3 linked regions of the Pelodiscus sinensis genome follow. The protein of the gene in region 3 purifies or fractionates together with the protein of the main gene of each other region. This does not show direct contact. Links are inferred from orthologs where the notes say so. Each region holds a gene or a part of one and is shown on either strand. Other genes may lie near its edges.

What was found.
Region 1: the proteins of DDX39A (region 3) and API5 fractionate together in Homo sapiens (co-fractionation; 3 studies listed by BioGRID, with this or other methods). This does not show direct contact. The link is inferred for Pelodiscus sinensis from reciprocal best matches to the Homo sapiens genes DDX39A and API5.
Region 2: the proteins of DDX39A (region 3) and THOC1 purify together in Homo sapiens (affinity purification with mass spectrometry; 3 studies listed by BioGRID and IntAct, with this or other methods). This does not show direct contact. The link is inferred for Pelodiscus sinensis from reciprocal best matches to the Homo sapiens genes DDX39A and THOC1.

Annotation. Positions count from the first base shown.
Region 1 is NC_134714.1:80,644,936-80,652,386, reverse strand, and holds the start of API5 (apoptosis inhibitor 5), read right to left. Parts: upstream 3,004-7,451; 5' UTR 2,836-3,003; coding exon 2,767-2,835; intron 930-2,766; coding exon 768-929; intron 1-767. UniProt on the Homo sapiens protein: Antiapoptotic factor that may have a role in protein assembly. Negatively regulates ACIN1. By binding to ACIN1, it suppresses ACIN1 cleavage from CASP3 and ACIN1-mediated DNA fragmentation. Also known to efficiently suppress E2F1-induced apoptosis.
Region 2 is NC_134712.1:79,537,400-79,544,322, forward strand, and holds the start of THOC1 (THO complex subunit 1), read right to left. Parts: upstream 3,089-6,923; 5' UTR 2,998-3,088; coding exon 2,938-2,997; intron 1-2,937. UniProt on the Homo sapiens protein: Component of the THO subcomplex of the TREX complex which is thought to couple mRNA transcription, processing and nuclear export, and which specifically associates with spliced mRNA and not with unspliced pre-mRNA.
Region 3 is NC_134729.1:10,432,197-10,439,739, forward strand, and holds the start of DDX39A (ATP-dependent RNA helicase DDX39A), read right to left. Parts: upstream 3,104-7,543; 5' UTR 2,971-3,103; intron 1,663-2,970; 5' UTR 1,626-1,662; coding exon 1,418-1,625; intron 640-1,417; coding exon 512-639; intron 159-511; coding exon 66-158; intron 1-65. UniProt on the Homo sapiens protein: Helicase that plays an essential role in mRNA export and is involved in multiple steps in RNA metabolism including alternative splicing. Regulates nuclear mRNA export to the cytoplasm through association with ECD.

The sequences.
Region 1 (7,451 bases), on a different chromosome or scaffold from region 3:
CTCATCAGTTAACCTTCATGTAACCTTCACCCGGTACATGCAGCGAGGTGCCTTAAAAACCAAATTCCTGTGTGCACCAGCTTCCAGGGAGCCGCCTCCCCTCTACTGCTGCCTTGGTATGAGAGGCATCGGGGAGGCGGGGGGGGGGGGGGGGGGATGTCAGATGTAGGTGGGAGCTGGTACATGCAGTGAGCCTGCTTAAAAGCTGGCTCTCTGTGAGCACCAGTTCCTGGGGAACCAACTGCCATCTTGCACATAACCGCTGATATTTTCAGAAATTATATGGTTACTTAAAACACATTTTAACATCTCTACTTATTATAAAGTACTTTGATATAAAAAGTGCTAGAGATGTGAGAAGTATTTTTCAGTTCATTTTCTAGGTAGAGAAAATTTTCCTGTAATTAGAAAGGGTTGAATCACGAGGGATAATGAAGAAAAGGAAGATTTATCTGGTGATAGACGATGGACAGAATTACAATGTGTTCTTCAGACATTGTAAGCATTATCATGAAGCAAGTAACATAGAATCCGATTATTTCAGCCAAAGTGATCAGAATTGTTTTGACTGAAATAAAAGAAAGGAACTAACATATTGTTAATTACAATTTTATGACACACAGACATAATATAATTTGAAACATATGGACACCGGAGTCCCTTTTTTGCAAGAAAATACTTGTATAAAATGGGAGAGGAATAAAAGGGAACACAAAATAAGACTCAACATAGAAGCCTGCTAAAAAACATCCAACATGTAGCCTTACGGAAACATCTTCATCCTCACAGAGGTCCAGTTGGGCATTGATAGCTGAATCTGCCAGCTCAGGAAAATGTTTGAAGAACTTTGGAATAAACTGTGCTGCCAGTCTCTTCTCCTTGGCACCTCCTTTTACACCATCCAGTATCACTTGATAAGCATCTTTATGCTAGAAGAGAAAATAGACTATATAAAGCAGAACATACTTAGAATTTCCCTAGGATCAAGAAAGGACTTGTTATTCTCAATTGTACTTTAGTTTTTATGATTAATACAAAACCCTATTTCAAAAAGTTCACCTATATTAATGATAAATTAACGGAACCATAATTTGCATAGTGACATAAACTTGCTGACTCCTAATTGAACCAACAAAAAAATGCTGTCCAAAACACCAATAAGGTAGGAAATGGTCCATTCCAAACAGCCCATTCCTATTCCTGAAGTCAAAATTTCCACTGACTTCAGTAAGAGTAGATCTAGCCCTTAATAGCCAACTGAAGCAGTAAATCATCCTCTGCTCAGCTGAATAACATTAAAATATTTACATATTCTATCTAAGAGCCAAATGCTGCTATCGTATTCACAGAAGCAGACCCCTTAAACACAAGCAGAGTCACAACGAAGTTGATGGAATTCCATAGGATTATCAGGGTTCAATGGCATGATGAGAAACTGGAAACCTTCTATCTAGGCAGGGGAAAGAATTGATATTTGTAAAAACTTGAAGAACAACAACAATTATCTTCTGCCTAAGATGATGTTTGACATTTGATCTTTCACCTGGCATTGCCAAGTCATGTTTTTATATTAATATTTCAAGACAGAAGATTTTACTTGGAAGTCTTTATTTAAAAAAAAAAAAAAAAAAAAAGATGACTGTTGGCCAAAACTGGTCAAGCAATTTCTCTGTCCTCAAGTTGTACACAGATGAATAATCATATTGCTCTTAATCAAATATTGTTGTTACCATCTGCCATTTAAATGAACTATTGTACACAATGTCTATCTTTGGAAATAAGTTTCCTTTCTAACCAGTAATGCCTCAATAATTACACTAAAGTTGCTATTGGTTTACTTTGGCTAATTTCATTTTTACTCCTACATTGGCTTAACTGTTCAGTGCTCAGACACTGCAAGCTCTTCAGCACAAGCTTAACTCTATTGCACATATAAAATTATGCAGAACAGAAACCTTAAAATGCTAGCAGAATGTTCCTAAACAAATTACTTAAAGTGGAACAAGCAAGCTAAATATTTTATTCTAAAGAAAATGAACCAAGTTGTATTTTTAACACCTTATCCACCTTGTTGCAGAAAGAAGACTTTACCCTATTCTGGATGGTGATAATAAATGTAAAAGATGCAAGATGTGTCTTTTTTCTTTTGATGACTACCATACATTTATCTGGGCCAAACACCCAGCAAGGCAAATCTGTTTTCTGAGACGGAGCTACTAAGTGGAACACCACATTTCAAAGAGACACAGCTCTGCCAAGCAGGAGGGAGCTTCAAGGAATCGACCGACTTGTGAGGGATGATGGCTACTCACAACTCCCAGGAGAGCTGAATAGGAGCAGGGGCTGCTACGCACCTCTGGGATTCAGGCCTTCAACGTCCTGGCGAACCGTTGGCCACAAACCCTTTCCACGCCTGGGACAGCACCAGAGCGCCGTGCACCCAACACAAGGTCAAGGAGTCTCCCTCCAACTGACAGACGCCGGGCACCAGTGGCCACGGCAGGGGAGAGGGCCCCCTTTCAAGCCTGACGCCACTGACCCAGGCTGACGCTGCTTTTGGCGGGGGAGGAGGGGGAGAATATTTTAATCAGCTACGTAACCCGCTGCCCCGCCAGGCTGCTCAGCCCCAGTAACCCCCCTCCCCCCTGGCCTCCCCCTCCCCCTGCCCCTTCCAGCCCGGGCCGGGCCTGCCCTCCCCCGCCGAGGGACCCGCCGCACTCCAGCCCGAAGCTTTGCGGGGCCCTGCAGGCCGCGGCCGGGGCCCACCTGCCCCGCGGTCTCGGTGGCGTCGGCCAGGATCCCATAGTTGCGGTAAAGCTCCTCCACGGTGGGCATCGTGCGGCGGGGGCGGGCGGGGGCCGGAGCTGGAATCGGGGCCGCCGCGGCTGCTTCTCCTGCGGCTGCTGCTGCTGCTGCCACCGACGCTGCGCCTGCTGCCACCGAGCGAGCGCAGCAGCTTCCGGCGGCAGCGACCCCTGCAGGCGCGGCAGACCGACTGCGGCCGCGGGAACGCGCCCAGGGCAAGCACCTGCCCCGCTGCCCCAGCCCGGGCGCCGTCCCCCGGCGTCTCAGCCACAGAGCGTTTCCCCAGGCGCGGTGCCGCCTGTACCCCCCCCCCCCCCCCCCGCCTTGCTGCCTCTATCGGGCAGCTGCACGGGAGACGGCGGGAAGGGCAAGGGAGGCTGGCCCAGGCTCGCCACAAGCAGAGGCTGCTCTGAATCCGTGGGCGGTCGCAGCAGGGAGCGGGGATGCCCCACAGGCAGGGGCTGCTCAACCCAGTACGAGCCGGGACTGAGGAGCTCAGGTCTGGCTTGCGCTGGCTCTGGGATCTACCCCCGCTGGGGCTCTACAGTTTAAATGTAGTGGGAGCCAGGCTGCCTGTGCGCCCAGCGGGGGTAGCTCCTGGACCCGGTACAAGCCGGGACTGAGCACCTTCCCTTATCAACTCATCAAAGTGTATTGACTACATGGTTAGACAGTTACTTGCCTCTTAACATCCTTACCCCAGAGTGCTGGGTGGGTGCCTCTGCTAGCCCGGGAACACCATGCGGCCCTGAAACTTGCGGGCAGTGCGGTTACCAGTGCTGGGCAGGCAGGCAGTGCAAGCACCAACTCCAGCCGCATGGAGTCCATGGCAGCAGGCCAAGCCTGGGATGCTAGCCACTGGGGAAGAGCTTCAGACTGCCAGTGGGAAGCAGGAGCGAGTATGGGGGAATAGAGCTATTTAGGGAGGTTTAGCCATCCCTGGCCTGTAATGCTGCTCAGCTCTGGCACAAGCACTGCAGCAAAAGCAACTGCTGCACTCTGATCTACCTGCTGGCTGATGACTATCTAGACACAGACAAGGGGCTCTTTTCCTGCAGCTACTGGGACCTGGGGGATGGAGAACTCCATGTACTGTCAATTCCAAATATTTACAAACTATGGAAAAATCACACACACACATTTTTAAATGGGGTCAGAGTTACAGATGCTCAAAACAAAATGTAGGACAATGTAGCACTTTAAAGACTAACAAGATGGTTTATTAGATGATGAGTTTTCGTGGGCCAGACCCACTTCCTCAGATCAAAATCAAAAAGTGGGTCTGGCCCACGAAAGCTCATCATCTAATAAACCATCTTGTTAGTCTTTAAAGTGCTACATTGTCCTGCATTTTGCTTCAGCTACCCCAGACTAACACGGCTACATTTCTATCACTATTCTAGATGCTCAAAAGTGAAGGTATTCAGCTGTGCCCTGTACTTCTTATGCCTTTTAGAATATGTGCTTGTTTCCCCAGATTCACATACCCAACTAAGCCACAACACATTAGCTACTTTTTCTATGCATGCCTGAGCACCAGATTTACTTTCGAAAGAACGCAGCAGCAGTCTAGACGCAGGGGAAGTTGTTTTTTTGAAAAAAGGCCTTTAAAAAACCCCCCAAAACCTGTAGTCTAGACACACCCTCAGTAGGCTCTGGGCAGCATGACAGTTGTGGGAAGCACTGGCATCTGGTTGTCAGAGATGATACAGGACAAGGAAGCTGATGTATGGCTAAGATACTGTGATCTTGAGGGATTTCTGAATAATTGGTGTTTAAGAGCAGGGCAAAGGTTGTGTAATACTAAAAAGGGTTACCTTAACTTGGCTTTTTTTGTTTTGCGTATTTTGAATTTTGGCAATCAAATCCTCAAAGGGCACAAGGAGTACAGGATTCTGATGGATACAAAAACCTTACACTGTGCTTGTTTGATCACTACTATGGTTTGAGCTTTGAGCAGGGATATGCGTTGAAGTGTCCATTGTGAAGTTTCCAGTTCAGGCATGGGGAAGGAGGGAGGAGCTGAAAGAGAATTTAACAAAAGAAGTGAGACCAAAACACAAGAAAAGGAAGGGAAGAGGGAGAAAGAGAGAGAGAGAACAAAAACATTTTAAAGCCCCCAAGAATGAAGAAAAGCAGACATTTAAAAAGTTGGCAGAAAAATTCACCAAGATATTACTTAAAAAGAAAGTAGAAATAAAAGTCAAATTGAGAAAAGAAAAAGAGGGAAAAAATCAAAGGAGGAAGAATATATTTACTTTTAAATGATTTAGTAGAAAATTGAACCATTAAAAAGACACTGAAAAGTTTTATGAATATTACATAAAATCAAGCAACCTTATAAATGCTTATACAATACTAATAGGTCCTTTCCACCGAGAAAATCTTTACATGCACATACCGGCATAACTGCATCTGTTAAATAGAGGGAACACTGGAATAGTGATATTGTCTGACCTGCTTGGTCCTAGTTGAAAGCTGTGGTTTTGGAACTCAAAGTCCATATAAGCCCTAGTGTGATCTATTTAGTAATGGGGGGAAGAACAAGACAATGCCCCCTTCATCTCAAGCCCTTGCCTCCACCCTTCCTCCCCTTAGTTTTGTTTAGTTTTGAAAAGTTATGAATTTCAGTTCCCAAGTTCATCTTTTGAAGGTGTTATACAGATTTCCTTTGATCACAAGGACTGAGAGGTCAGGAACAGAGTGATAGCTTTTTGAAAAGTGTTCTCCCATGATTGATAAAGTGTTTTTGTCTTTTATCATTTTTTCTGTGTAAATTATTTTGAGACGGTATAAATACATGCACATACATGCATAATTGGCATGTAAAAATAGTGAAAGCTTTGTTATCCGGCACTCTGTTAATTGGAAAACTTTGTTTACCGGCATTGCCCCCAGCCATAATACCACCGCATCATCAGGCACGCATGCCTGACTCCTGCGTGTCCAGCTGTTGCAGGGCTTCTGACAACCAGCACCACTTGTTGACATCATCAGCAACCACCTTCTTTCCCCTCAGCTTGCTTTGAGCTGCTGAATCTGCTGGTAGGTGGTGGAGGGGCAGAGCAAAAAACTGTGTTATCCAGCACATTCAATTAACCGGCAACCCTCTCTTTCCCCATGAGTTCCAGAGAACAAAGCTTTCAATGTATCCTTACCTGTGTTATTAGTAACAGTATAAATTAGAAAAGTTGTATTTTAAAACAGGTACTGCTACTAAGACATTCACACCTAGTTTATTTCTCACCATTGGTACTGTTCATTTCTTTTCTGCATTTGCCTGTTTAGCCAGTTTCATTTTCTGTTTCTAGTCTTTTTCACTATTTAATTCTCCAGCAAATCAGAGTCTACATGAGGAACATAATGCCAAAAGAGGCAGATTGTTAGACAGACAGATTCACTACCATGAAATAATAATGTCTCAGTCCTCAGCAGGGTAGGGAAAGTTTAAATAATTGTTAATAGACTTTTTTTTAAACATTTCATGGAAACATTTTGTAACTCTCTTGTGTTTTTTTAATAAACTAAATTTCAGTCCTGAAGTACTGTACCTGATAGTAAATTGGACACATGATCCTCATCTCCATTAGGTGGCACTAAGCATTCATACTGGGTTCTTTCTTTTTGTCACCAAACTATGCAGAACACAGAAAATTGAGTAGCTGCAGCCAGTGTCTTTACAGGCAGTGAGGAACCCATGCACCCATTAGGCTCAAATGGTTTGTAAAATGTAAGAAAAGGTAAACGGGTAGCAGCAGCAACTTCCCCATGTCCCATTATGCTTTGCATCCTGCTGATTTCAGAGGAACTTTGAAATGAAAGAGGATTCACCCTCCCAAACACAGCGTAAGGCCAGGCTAAGCAAAACAGGACACAAGTTTTCTTCATTTCATTCTTACAAATAGGGCAGGAAATTGGGAATCTTGCTTGGGCCAGGGACTGGAGACACACAGAAAAATCAATCAAGGGATGCACAAAAATTGGAACCAAACACACACTTCCCTGATGTGAACCCCTGACTTAGAAGCACAAAGACACTCCCCATGTTCACCTTGCACACCAGAGCTTAGGGAGCCTGGGTCCCCCTAGGCTCTGGGGCAGGCCAAAAATGAGGGGTTCAGTGTGTGGAAGGGGGCTGCCTGGAAGTGGGCTTAGGGTGGTAATGAGGGGTATGGACAGGAAAGAGAGTACAGGAGTGGGTTAGGAGTTGGGGGGGTCTGGGAGGGTGCAGAAGTGGGTTGGGGTGGGATGGTTGGATGGATGGCAAGGTGCAAATCTTACCAAATGAACAAAGCATAACATAAAGAGAAAAAGGATTCTGAAAACAACAAAAGGTCTGTATGCGTACCTATCTTACCTAAGCCTTTCTACCCTAGGAGGGGGGCCTAGGAAGAGCTAGCTACTCATGCATCCCAATGGGTATCAGTCTGTTTCCCTTAAACAGTTCCCAAACAACAATTTCTGCTGTATAGTGTGTCTTTCTAACTGTTTATAGTCCTCTTGATCAGTTGGTGCCCAGCACAGGCTAAACAGGGAAGTAGCATGTTCACAGTTAATAGCTCAGGCATTATCTCAACATGCCATCCTCCCCAAAGTATTTACCAAGAACTGTCTTATTGGGAGTTATTGCCTCTGGCTTATTTCTG
Region 2 (6,923 bases), on a different chromosome or scaffold from region 3:
TGTGCCACGTGGCCCAAGGTGGTGTTTTTAGCAGCTGGCTCCAAAGCAGAGCTCTGCTATATCCCTCCTTGGATGAGACCCCAAGTCAAAGATTTCCTCATCCATCCCTGAGGCTCTGGTAGAAAAACATGTCTCCTCCTCCAGTGCCCTTCCTACATGAAGATGAACCTGGTTTCTTGATTTTCCTTGCTACAAGAGCTATGTGAGCTTCAGCTCTAGAATTAGGGCTCCTATGCACCACGATAATTGAAATACTTATTAGTATTAATTATTTTTGTAAGAATGGAAGGAAGAATGGTTAAGGCTCTGTGCCGGAATAAGGAAGAACCAGTTTACATGTTTCACACCATCCAACCACCTCTGTGGCTCCAATTGGTGGACCAGGTGCAGATGCCTTTTATTCCTCTTGTACATTGGATCTGTCTGACTGCATAGTAATCTTCCTTCAAGTTTGTCCCTGGGGAAGATGCTAAGTTTGTTTTGAAACGATACCTAAGCAGCCAAGTCTATTGCTTTCTCCAGAACACACGAAAGTGAAAGAGTTGAGGCTGGCCTACACCAAAGCCAGGGAGTGGAGCTCCCGTTCAGGGGCAGCACCCCAATCATATCCCTATACAAGCCCCTCCACCACATCCTAGGAGGGGAGTCGGTCCCTTTCCCCACTTGCCTAAGGACACCTTCCTGGAGCTCTCCCGAGGAAACTCCACTCCAGTGCTTCACCACCCTCCTGGGACAACGGCAAGAGAATCGTATCTGCCTGAGTATGGCCCCAACTGTTGATCTCCCCACGCAAAACTGGTTCCCGGCAGAGCAGTAACTGTCTGGTGTGGTGAGCTTCCAAAGTGTGATGGTGACCCACTTCTGGAAGGGGATGGCGGGTTCCATGTGCGTATCCCTTGCAGAGCTCCAGGAAGGTGTCCTTAAGCACATGGAAGTTCTACAGCCACTACTGGTCATCCCGTTGCTCCATGACAATCTGGCCCCACCAGCTGGAACCTGTTGCTAGTCGCCAGAAGTGGCAGTGCCTGGTGTGCAGGGTAGGGTGGGAGAGATCATGCTGCATGAGCAGTACGGAGAAAGAGGTGAGGAGGTGCCCTACAGGGAACAGTGTGTCCTGTTCCTGCAGTGCCATGTGGGCAGCATGCAATAACTGCACCAGGAGGCGTGGTAGCAGATCTAAGAGATGGCGATTACTTTCTAGCACATCTAGCTCCATGCCCTCAAGAGCAACCAGAGCAAGAAGTGAGATGAGTTTGCTGTCCTTCAAGGCAAAGGTGAAGAGCCTGAGACATGGCTGTAGAAGGTAGCCCTTTTAAGCATAAGCCTCAGATAGCCTCAGGCAGCAGCTACAGGAAATGACTGCTGTCCTGATGCTCTGCCCTGATGCTTCCAGGGGGCCTTAAGAGCTATTCAGGCTTCACTCAGTGTGGACACACTATTTTGATATATTTCTGCACTATTTTGATGGGCTTTTGTAGTGTGGAACATAGTATTTGAAATAGCTATTCTGGGAGTTATGATGCCAAAATAGCTTATTTGTACCGTCATAGTTCCAGTGTAGAGGTTGCACATGAAATCACCGGGAATGAATTGTGTAAGTTCAGAAATATCTCTAGTGCTATAGTGATTGAAAGGAAAGTTCTGTCTCCCTGATTTCTCTCATCATTTACATGATCCAAATCTAAATGCGTCATATTCACCACTAAACTAAATTAAAAGCTTGTGTGTGTGTTGTGTGTATCCTTTTTTTAATTAGATTTCTTTTTTTTTTGCCTCCTTTGGTTTTGTTGAATGTTACTTTGAAGTGAAATGTGGCTCTAATGCCTTGTGCCTCAAATTTTGCAATTTGCTGCATGAGCAGTATGGGGAAAGAGGTGATGAGGTGTTTCTGCAGTGCCATGTGGGCAGCATGCAATAACTGCACCAGGAGGTGTGGTAGCAGATCTAAGCGATTCATATTACAATCCATGAAGTTACGGCCCATGAAGTTAACAACTACTGTTTTGGTTTTGAGGGAGTTGGCAGGTATATAATAAAGTATTCATATGGACACGCTTAAGTGCTTTGTTGTGTGGAAACTCCATACTTTGCAAAAGTAATACAATGCATTTATGGCAGAGCAAGGAAGATTTCCTTCATATAAAATGAGCCAGGAAGACCAATGATCTTGATCTGTGACAGATTGCTGCACACAAAAAGCTTCTTTTTGTTGGGGAGAACAAAAAATGGAGCCCCATGCCATTTGTACTAATGAAAGAGGAGACCTAAGAAATCAGTCTGGAATGTTTGAAGTATGGGGGTTGGATGCCCTCTTTGCAAGTCCTGCATCACCTGACAGTTCAACTTACAAAACAACAGTCACAATGTTACTAGCTTCCCAAAAGTAAACAGTACTTACCATTGGGTCCTACATTAGCAGGTGGGGCACTGCTGACTCCCTAAAGTGCCCACAAGTCCGTGGGACATGCCTCGGCTGAGTGAGTTTGTGAGGCCCCGCCCGGGGTCAGGGCAGGCGGACAGACATGGGGTTAATACAAATAGTCATCAGTTCACAGTTTAAGGTGCCTTGGGTCAGGGCGACAAGTGTCTATTAAAGCTCTGTCTGGGTCCCAGCCGGACAGGGGTCGGGTCTCCTCGCTCTGCGAGAGCCGACAAGCACAAGGGTTTTGGCCCCACAGGGGGAACCTGCCACTCAGGGGAAAGGGTTGCAGGGGGGACGCAGGCCCTCCCTACTCCACCGCATCCCGCACCAGGGCCCTAACAGTGCCAAGGCAGCAGCCACTGGACCGGCAGAGCTCCAGGCCATAGCGCGCCGTCCAGGTCAATGGGAGTCCAAGCCACAGCGCCCTGCCCACCTGACCTCCACTTCTTCAGCCTTCCCAGGATCGGCTGTCCCTGAGTCACTTTCCAACCCCCCTCCTCCCTCCATGGGCCTACCCAATTCTGGCGACAGTCCGGTGGATACTCGGGCAACAGCGGGGTTGGCAGGGTGTCCATGGGCTCCGGTTCAGGCAGGACTCCAGGTGGGCCAGCACAGTTGTTGGTAGCCAGCAAGCGTGCTATCAGGATCAGCGTGCATTCAGGCAGCAGCCAGTGTCCCAGGCCAGAGCTCTGAGGTTGGCAGGGGTCCACGCAGCCCAACCCAGTTCTTGGACCAGGGGCAGTGCGGCCGAGGCCTACGCTGTGGGAGTTACGGCCAGGTGTTGGCTTGGCTTAGTTACCTGGCTCCGACTGAACCTGTGGCTCTTATAGCCCCAGACCCGCCCTCTGACCTCCTGTGGGCGGGGCTAGGTGTGGCTGGACCCGCCCACCAAGGGGTCATAGAGGGCACTTCCTCTTCCGGGTCAGCAGGCAGCCATGTTGCTGTCCCAGACTCATTACAGTCCCATAACACCACCATAAAATGATGACTATTTCATGCAAAGCATCACATCATATAAAAAGTCTGAAGCCAGTTGTTCTGTTCAAATGCTTATCAATAGTGTGCATGAAGTTATGAGATTTTGCCAAATGGTTGTTACTGAAATATGCTGTAATTTTGAGAGTCTTTAATGCTAGGTGATGAACCACTTCCAGGATGGTATTAAACATTCATTAATCAATAGGGGAGTTCTAATCAAAGGGTATACAATTCAATAACAATTGTGCAAGCACCAAACAATGGAGACTGTCCAATTCTAGGATGCAGTTGCACAAGATCACATCAGTGGTATTGCTTAGCCTTGTGACTCAGGAAAGTCCATCAGGACATGTCTTCATCGGAGCAAGTGTCTCATAGGTACGTGGACTAAGGATACAAGATAGACAAAAGCCTGGTGCCACTGTTCCCTTTCTCTTCCCCCACATATGCTGGAAGGAGGAACAAGAATGCTTGGAAGACAAAGACTTCAACTGAGGAGACTGGACCAGGGAGAAGCCTGTGTATTAAGAACTGTAATATCTAGGGGGTGAGAATACTGCTTGACCTAAATACTGCATAATATAATAAGGTTTAAGAGTTAGATTGTGTGCTTAGCTTCTATTTTCTTTGGTAACTATCTCTGATCATTTATGTCTACCACTTAAAGGGTGCCTCTACACTGTGCCTGTAGCTTGAAATAAGATACGCAATTTGAGCTACGCAAATTGCATATTTTATTTTAATCATATTTTGAAATAGCTAATTTCAAAATTTGGCACTGTCTACACAGCACCTATTTCAAAATAAATTGCTATTCTGAAAAGTCCCTTACCCCTCTAATGCTCATTAGAGGGATGTCAGAATAGCGAGCCCATTATATTTCGAAATAACGGGTGTGCTCAAAAGACGCAGAATAGCTATTTCGGGATACCTCCAGTATCCCGAAATAGTGCTGCAGTGCAGATGTAGCCTACAGAATCTCTCTCTCTCTCTCTATTTAATAAATCTGTTTGATATTTTACCCAGAACAGTGTTTTCCTTGAAGTGCTTGGGAAATCTCAGCTCAGGTTAGAAAGGCTAGAGTGTGTCCTCTCCACATTGAAGGATGGGTGGACTGTGTAAGAAATATACACTGGTCAGGCTTCTGACCAGGAAAAGATGGTGCACCTTTTGGGCAAAAGTCCAGGGAGGTGAGAGGAATTGGCTGGCTCCTTTCTCTTTAAGATTTGTGAGTGGATCTGGGAGCTGAATGATAAATAGCAAACCCTGCCAAGCACAGCTGTCACTTGCAAAGCATTGCGAGATAGCGCCCAGGCTGGAGAGTTAAAGATGCTCAGTGTTACCCCAGTTCCAGGTTGTACCCTGCCAATTCAGTCATAACTATCTGCCTCTGGACATAGTGACATTCTGTAACATCCTTTCAGACGTGACAATGCTCTGTCATTGGATAAGTATATTGTTCCATGTTTTAGTCGGAGTTGTTTTGTGGTAAGTTTGCAGAAAACGAGAGAAATTATGTTGCACAAGTCTACAGGAGGAAAAGGTTTCCAGAGGATGTGGTAATTTTATGTTTGTTGCAGCAAACAGACTTGTGTGTAATTTCAGAAACAGGTAGAGCTGCATACTGTGGGTGTCACTTTGAAATGGGAATGCAGAATCCCAACTCCCTGGAACATCTCTTTCAGATCAGTTTGTGTCTAAACTTTGCAATTCAGGCTCACTCAATAACATTGACTAATGAATATTTCCTAAAGTGGGGAAGGAGAGGGACCTTCCCCCTGCTAAATTTTCTCCAGCCCGTGGCAAGTCTGCGCACCATGGGCTGGAATCCCTGACTCTCAGCTCCCTCCCAGTCATGGGGCTAGAATCACAAGCACTGGCTATCCCCATTGTGGGGGAAGATATGGTGCCAGACTGGTCAGCTGCACCTGCAGCCCTGTATGTGCAGGGGTCATCAATTAGAGTCCATGTGCACCTGCCCCCATCAATGGGTCAGGAGAACTGAGGGAGCTGCATCTGTAGGCATGGCTACAAAGACTAGGCTAATGGACCTTTCTTGCCCATGTAGTTGCTATATGCAATGAATCATGTCCCATCAGCTTGAATTCTGGAAGAATGAAATAAAGATATTTGACGTGAAATTCTTCATCTGCTGTTGAAGGGTATGTCTACACTACAGCGCTAATTCGAACTTAATTCAAATTAGTTAATTCGAACTAAGCTAATTCGAACTAGTGCATCTAGACCTAAAAACTAGTTCAAATTAGCGTTTTGCTAATTCGAACTAGCATGTCCACATTGAGTGGACCCTGAACCGGGGTTAAGGATGGCCAGAAGCAGTGCCGGCAGGGCATCAGATGAGGACTTAGAGCGTGGAGCTGCTGTCTCAGGCTAGCCGAGGGCTGTGCTTAAAAGGACCCGACCCCCACCCCGGACAGACAGTTCTCAGGGGTTCCCTGTTCACTTGTCTAACTTGATGAGGGACAGCAAAGCAGTCCTGGCTTCAAGTGCCCACACTCGGCCATCAGCCCGGCTGCACTCGCCATAGGCTGCCATCCGGGGACGGGGGTTAATCGGGGGGCTGCAGGAGAGCTTCCACCCCGAGGAGCCCGCAGAGCCAGCCCAGTCCTCCCCATCGGGGGCTCGTACCCCAGTCCTCCCTCACCTCCTTCCACTTACCCCTCCCTAGCCCCCCTTCCTGATGTACAAAATAAAGGACATGTGTGTTCAAAAATAGAAACTCTCTTTATTGAGCAAAACTTGGGGAGACTGGGAAAAGGAGGTGGGAGAGGGGAAGAGAGAGGGTGGGAGAGGGGAGGGCAACTAAAATGATCAGGGGTTTGGAACAGGTCCCATATGAAGAGAGGCTAAAGAGACTGGGACTTCTCAGCTTAGAAAAGAGGAGACTGAGGTGGGATATGATAGAGGTCTATAAAAGCATGAGTGGTGTGGAAAGGGTGCATAAAGAAATGTTCTTCATTAGTTCCCATAATAGGAGGACTAGAGGACACCAAATGAAATGAATGGGTAGCAGGCTTCAAACTAATAACAGAAAGTTCTTCTTCACAAACCAAATAGTCAACTTGTGGAACTCCTTGCTGCAGGAGGCTGTGAAGGCTAGAACTAGAACAGAGTTTAAAGAGAAGTGAGATAAAGTCATGGAGGTTGGGTCCATGGAGTGCTATTAGCCAGGGGGTAGAAATGGTGTCCCTGGCCTCTGTTTGTGGAAGGCTGGAGATGGATGGCACGAGACAAATGGCTTGGTCATTGTCTTCGGTCCATTCCCTCCAGGGTACCTAGTGTTGGCCGCTGTTGGCAGACTACTGGGCTAGATGGACCTTTGGTCTGACCCAGTACGGCCATTCTAAGCTCAGGGCTCAGGGTCGGGGGTCTCACTGGACCACCTTGATTTTCATACATACTTGCTCCTGGGTGGCCAGGCTGGCAGCTATCCTGCCCTAGACGGCCACTTTCCTGTGCCTAGTGCGGAGGTCGTGGATGAGGTCCACGATGTCTGCACTAG
Region 3 (7,543 bases):
TCCGAGGTGCTGGGGAGGGGCTCCCCTTGACGCAGGCAGCGTGGGGGGCCAGAGGATGGGATCACCTTGACGCTGGGCATGTACTTGGAGAAGCGCTCGTACTCCTTGCTGATCTGGAACGCCAGCTCCCGTGTGTGGCACATCACCAGCACGGACACCTGGGGGGAGAGACGGGGTCACCTCAGCACCCCATGAGACATCCTGCCTCTCCAGGGATGCAGCCCAACACCCCCACCCAGGAACACCCTCCTGGGGATGGACACCTCCCCCCTCTTCCAAGATTTGGGGAACAGGTGCCCCCCCTTTGCCCCTTCACAGGGATGAATGATCTGGGGAGACCAGACTAAGCTAAAGCATCAGGGGTCCACGTCGCCTTCCCTGCCCTTCTCTTGGAGCCCAGGATGTCTCTTCACCAAGTCTACCCCACACCTGGATAGGCAGCCCCAGGCCCCTTCCCACATGGAATGGGTCAGAGAGAGGGCTGCTCCCCCCCCCCCCCCCCAAACCATACCTGCCCATCCACCGGCTCAATCTGCTGCAGCGTGGCCAGCACGAAGACAGCCGTCTTGCCCATGCCCGACTTGGCCTGGCACAGCACGTCCATGCCCAGGATGGCCTGCGGGATGCACTCGTGCTGCACTGCGAGGGGAGGGCAGACACACGACAGTTAGATGGGGCGCAGCATGTTGAGGGGAGAACCAGGAGTCCTGACTCCCAGCCCGCTGCTCAAACCGCTAAACCCATCCCCCTCCAGCACTGGGGCATTAGGGTCACCTACTGAGACCCCACCCCCAGCGGCACAGGGCCCCTCAGTGCTGCACTGGGGCTGATACTGAGTGCCAAGGAGAGCGCTCCCTGCTTCCCCAATGCAGACAGGCCTGATGGACTAGTCGGCTGGTCACACCCCATCCCTTGCTGCCTCCATCAGAAAGAGGCAGCGGGGTGAGGGGAAAGAGGAGAGGGTACTTGAAAGCAGTAGCACCGCTTGAAGCCTGGGCCAGCTGGGGTATCCCCAGGCTCCCCGCAGCGTTTCAAAGCGGCAGCGCCACACAGAGCCCAGGGTCAGTGGGGGAGTTCCCAGCTGATCCCAGGCTCCACCTCCGCCTTTGAAGTGTAGCAACAGCCCATGGGCCCTAGAGCTGTTGCTACACTTCGAAGGTGGAGGCGCCCCATCGACTAATCGAATAGTCAATGCAAAATACATCGACTATTCGATTAGTCAGTCGCTATTGAACGTCCGTAGCCCCCAGTTGGCAGGGCAGATCTCAGGATCACACTCCTTTTGCTGACACCCCCGTATCCCCGCAGCTCTCACCAGGCAGCGCCGCTCTCTATGGCCCCCGCCCGCAGGTCCTCCCAGGCGGGCTGGCGAGGGGGTTGCGCTCCCAGGGGCCAGGGGCCTCGGCTCCGCTCCTACCTTCAGACGGGTGCTCGAAGCCACAGTCCACAATGGCTCGCAGGAGCTCGGGTTTGAGCAGGAAGTCCCGGAACCCTGAGCTGTGGATGGACACATAGGAGCCCTTCACGTCCTTCTTTGCTGCAGGGGGCACCGCGTCCGCCACCACCTGGGGCTCCTCGTCCTCCTCATAATCCAGCAGCTCGTTCTCCACATCCTGCTCCGCCATTCTGCGAGGAACGGGGCACTCGGGCTGCGGGGCTGCACTGAAGGTACCAACAGTGTTAGCACAGGGAGCTCAGGGTTTGGACAGGTCAGAACTGAGGGACCCAGGCCTGTACTAGGCTAGTAAAGGCTTCAGGCCAGTGCTGAGCCAACAGAGGTGGAGGGGAGCCCAGGACTTGCACAAGGGCTTTAGGTCAGGATGGAGACACACCCACAGAGCTGGGACGGAGATGAGGCTGGGGTAACAGGCTGCAGGTCAAGAGCGTGAGGCACGGGCAGAGCTGGGGTGGGGGAGTAACCCCAAACTTCATTAGCCCAGGGGCCTTGGGCAGGATTGAGGGCCATTGGCAGAGCTGGGAGTGGGGAGCCTGGACAGCCAGGGGAGTTGTGGGTCAGGATTGAGGGGCACTGACTGGGAGGCTATGGGTCAGGATTGAGGGGCACTAGATGGGACACTGGGTCGCTTGGGGAGGTGGGTTGGGGAGTCGGGATTATGGGGCGCTGGGGGGCCAGGGCTGGGGGGGCTGTGGACGGGCATTACGATACCCTTGCGGGGGGGGGGGGGTTGGGCTAGCCAGGTGGCTGGGGGGTCGGGGTTATGGGGCGCTGGGGGGCCAGGGCTGGGGGCTGTGGACGGGCATTACGGTACCCTTGCGGGGGGGGTTGGGGGGTCGGGGTTATGGGGCGCTGGGGGGCCAGGGCTGGGGGCTGTGGACGGGCATTACGGTACCCTTGCGGGGGGGGGGGCTGGGGGGCCGGGGTTATGGGGAGGCTGTGGACGGGCATTACGATACCCTTGCGGGGGGGGGGGTTGGGCTAGCCAGGTGGCTGGGGGGTCGGGGTTATGGGGCGCTGGGGAGCCAGGGCTGGGGGCTGTGGACGGGCATTACGATACCCTTGCGGGGGGGGGCTGGGGGGTCGGGATTATGGGGCGCTGGGGGGCCAGGGCTGGGGGGGCTGTGGACGGGCATTACGGTACCCTTGCGGGGGGGGCTGGGGGGTCGGGGTTATGGGGCGCTGGGGGGCCAGGGCTGGGGGCTGTGGACGGGCATTACGGTACCCTTGCGGGGGGGGCTGGGGGGTCGGGGTTATGGGGCGCTGGCAGAGCTGGGGGCCCGCGGGTCGGGACTGCGGGGCGCGGGAGGCGGGGCTACGGGCGGGATTAGGGGGCGCTGGAGGATCCGGGGGGGCTGGGGGCACGTGCCCCCCCCACAAGCAGAGCGGCCGCCATGGGCAGGCTCCCGGCCCCGGCCCCCCCCGTTGCCGGGCCGGGCGGGGGAGACGCGGCGCCGACCAGGCCGCAGCCCAAGCCCCGGGCTCGCGTGAGCGCCCCGCCCGGCCGCTCTCACCTCGCGCTCCCGGAGGCCGCTCACGTGGTACCGCGCTCCGGCTCCCACTCCCGCGCGGCGCGTCCTCTGCCGGCGACAGAGCGCTTCTTCCGCCTCCACTCCCATTGGCGCGACGCCCCGCCATTCCGGGCCGCTCCCTCCACTCTCATTGGTCTGCTGGAGGCCCGAGGCCCGCCTTACGCCGGAGTTAGCGGATGCCGCCAGAGGAACTGCCAGTCTATTGGCTGATAGAGATGTCCATCTTTGGAAGCTGCCTGTTGATTGGGTTAATTCATCTGCCAGTCAGCGCGCCCTTCCATCAGTTTCCTACGAGGGTAGCACTGCGGTCTTGAGAGAGGGAGGAACAAAGGGCAAGTGAAGCCTGGAATGAGACGCCATCTTGAATGGTGGCAAAAAACACACCATGAAGATGGGAAGGAGTGGGGCGCCATCTTAAGTGCTGGCAGGAGTAGTTATCTCTCCCCCTTCTTCTTCCAATCAGGATAAGCGCAGGGCTATGAGGATAGACACAGCTCAGAGGGATGGGCAGGGCTGCTGGTGGCCAGGGTCACTATGCCCATAGACTTGGCCTAGTTCACGTCTGGCCTCCCCAGCATCCCTTGGCAGTGAGTTCCGCAGGCTGCAACATTTTAAACCTGCCCCCCCCCCTCCGTCCATGTCATCTGGTCACCCCAGTTCTTGTGTTATAGGAAGGAGCAAATCTGTTAAGTCTCCACTTGACAAAGCCCTGGCTGGGTTGATTGAGTTGGGATTGGTCCTGCTTTGGGCAGGGGGCTGGACTTGATGACTCCTGAGGTCTCTTCCAGCTCTAGGATTCTATGAAATTCATTCAGTCTCTTCACCCCCGTCCTATAGCTAGATGCCCCTTCAGTGCTGTCTTTTCTACAGTGAACAGTCCTGGTCTCATGAATCTCTCCTCAACCCCCTGCCTTTCCCAATTCCAATATTTTGTTTTAGAGACGGGGTGACCAGAACTGCATACAGTATTCAAGATGTGGGCATACCAGGGAGTTATACTGTGGCTTTGTGATATTTCCTACTTTCTATCCCTTCCCTAATGGCTCCTGACATGCTGCTGTTTGCTTTTTTGACTGTCGCTGCACATTGAGTGCATGTTTTCTGAGAACTCTCCACAATGACTCCAAGATCTGAGTCTCACATGGTAACAGCTAATTTAGTCCCCAGCATTTTGTATGATTAGTGAGGATTCTTTTTTCCAACCTGCATTATTTTACAGTGATCAACATTGCATTTCACCTGCCATTTTGTTGCCCTGTCACCCAGTTTGGTGAGGTCTCTTTGTAACTCCCTGCCGTCAGCTTTGGACTGAGCCATCTTCAGTAGTTTTATATCCTCTTCTCCAAAGAGCTCTGATCGCAGGGTCCTACAGTGACCCTGCTATTTACCACTCTCCATTATGAAAACTGACCATTTATTCCTACTCTTTGTTCCTGTCTTCTGCCTAATTACTTACATGAGAAGGCCTTCTCTCCTCGTATCCCATGACTTTGCTGAAGGGCTTTCGCCGAGGGACCTTGTCAAAGGCTTTCTGAACATCCTAGTTCACTACATCCACTGGATCCCTTGGCCACATGCTTGTTGACCCATCAAAGAATTCTAGTAAAGTGGTGTGAGGCCTGATTGGCCCAGTCATCTCCAACAAGCCCCTCGGGGTAGCTCTACAGCCTCTCCCCGAGTTACGAACGACTTACGGACCAAACACTTGCCCATAACTCGATCTATTCGTAACTTGGACCCCATTGAGTTACACGTGACCGCGCTGTTCGTAAGGGGACCGCCTTTACGACCGCTCCATAGGAGCTTTGGAGCAAATGGTCATAACTCAACCGTTCGCAACTCGAGGAGCGGCTGTACTGTAGTACTGGGCTATACTCTGAGACAGTGTTTCTCAACCAGTGGTACGAGTTCCCTTAGGGGTACTCGAGAGAAGTCGGGGGGCTACATCAACACAACTGAAATTTGGAGAAAACTGAATTTTTGTTTTAAGTTGTACAGCGCTTTATTACTTTTGTACTTTTTACACCCAAAAATGTCATCACCCGCCCGGCTATGATTAAGTTTTTTAAACAAATGTGTTAAAATGGTAGAAAAAAAATTGTGTGTCTGAAAACTGTAAGCACTGGGGGTACTTATTTTTTTTAAGGGGGTACTTTATAAAAAAAAGGTTGAGAAACACTGCTCTGAGATACTGCAGGGCACACAAAATTCATCCCTTTTCTACAGCTGCTCCCTTCCCTTTTGTCTGAATGTTTTTGTCTCCCTGTCCTTCCAGGACTGGTCTGTAGCAGCCCCCATCTTCTCCCCGCCCTTCTCTGCACCACGCCTCTAAATGGAGTATTAACTGGTAGGGCACAATTCCTGCACGGTCCCATTTGCATCCAGGAAGAGGGAAATGCCAGGACAGTCATGGACATGAGACAGTGGTGGAGCAAAGCGAGTGACAGAGCAAGGGAACAAGGGTCTATGTAGAGACAGGCGCCCCATGGCATCGGGATCAATTCACATGGCTGTAGCATCTGTAGGTTTGCTCCAGCGGAATTGGGTCCCAAGAGGCTGCACTGTTACTGGAGTGTGATATGTCCGTACAGGTGATTGTTGCAACCACTGCTAGATGTTTGCACTAAATCTTGTATAAAGTGGGCCACGTGAGGTGTCTATAGAAAGCTAATGATTCGCTGATTCTGTTTATGCTATTTGTGGGCAGGTATCATATTTGTGTGTGTGTGTGTGTGTGTGTGTGTGTGTGTGTGTGTGTGTGTGTGTGTGTGTGAGAAAGGCTTCTCAGGTTGATTGGGACAATGAAGCATGGGAAGCACCAATTGCACTCAGTGGACTTTCCTGCAAACCTCCAATCTGGAATTTGGACCATGGTAGCTGCCTAAAAAGGACTGAGTCCTGCATGGACAAGGGCTGTGCTTAGGTGACAAACTGCATTTTGTAGCTGCATTTTCCCACTGAGAGCCATGAGCGTCCTTCATTGTGGCCTATGATATAAAAAGAGCCCTGGAGTTTGCAAATGAAGTGCTGATTAGCATTTTGTCACACTTCATTTGCATAATCGATTCAAACCGTTTTTGCGCAAGGGGTTTTTGCGCACAAACAAGCAAAAAGGGGTTTTTGCACAAAAAGGAAACGTCCACACTGCTTGTTTTTGCGCAAAAATCCCTTGCGCAAAAACAGCTTGAATCGATTATGCAAATAAAGCAGGACAAAATGCTAATCAGCACTTCATTTGCATACTCTCTGCTGGCAAAAGCCAGCTGTGTAGACAAAGCCCATTTGTCTTTATTCTAGCGTCTCACCTGTGGAGGGGCTTTGCTAGGAACTGAAGCTTGAAGGGATGGTTGACCCTTGAGTGGGTGTCTTCCAGAGACTTGATTTAAAACAGCAGATTATTCACCTCTGCTTCAAGCTTGCCCCAAACACTTTGCCACTGGTGCATGCATTTGATTCCTTTAAGAGTTGTAGCTCTCACCATTTCTTGTTATTGATAACCCTTTAGATTTTAGATTCAAAAGGACTGGCACAGCATGCTTTTTGGGTAATGTCAGTCTAACGCATGGCGACTCACCATGCAGCCTGCAGCCTGTTTGTTTGCGGTCCGCGGTGCGGTTTGGGTGTACACAGGGCTCAACATGTGGCTTGTGGGTGGGATCCTTTGAACATGGCCTCCACTGGGACATCATCCCTGCTGGGAATCCAGGATGGGGCTCCGGAGCACCTGTCCTTTTTTGCCTCTTGTGTCCGGCATGACTCGTCTAGCTCCCCTCCCACCACAGGTTGGAGCATTCTGGTTTGGAAACTTTTTCTGAGTGAAATCACTCTGAGAAGTGCACAACCTGAAGCTTCAAGCTAAACACGCAAAACACTGGGATATAACTTTTTCTTTTTAAAAGTTCTCATCAAAAGTGCGGTCATGTGGGTGGAAATCGGGTAAATATTGCATTTTATTAGTATCAGCAGAACAGACTTAAATGGGGCCTGCAAATCGTGTAGTCTTGCCTTAATCTTTGTATGCATCAGTGTGCACTTTGCACTTAATCAGTGTGAAAGAAGCTATTTGCGACTACACTTAACTTGCGGCCCTCAGCATGTGCTGGGAGTATTTTTGTGGCCCCCAGAGCTTCCAAAGTTGAGTAGCCCTGATCTAAAGTGAGCTGGGAATGTGGCTGGTCCTTTGCGGTCAGAAAACCCATTTTGATTTGGCGAGATTAGTTTTCATAACCTCTCATCTGTGCTTGGAGCGGTGCTGGTGGTGGCACAGGAGCACTGGAGTGTCTAAGGAAATTGCATGTAGGACTTCTTGCTGGCCAGTACGGTGAATAGAACTGCTCTTTGTGATTGGCTGGTGCCTTATAGTGAAGGACTCCCAGACTTAAGCTGTAAGTAGCTCTGTCTCCAAGCAATTCGCCCTGAATTGGCCCTCTCAGCAGTGCCCCCAGAAACTCTCGTGTATTACAGAGGCAGAGAAGCACCTGCAGCATCACCCTCTGCCCGGGACTGTTATGATGTCAGCACCCATCCAGTCGAAGACCAGGAATCTCCATGCACA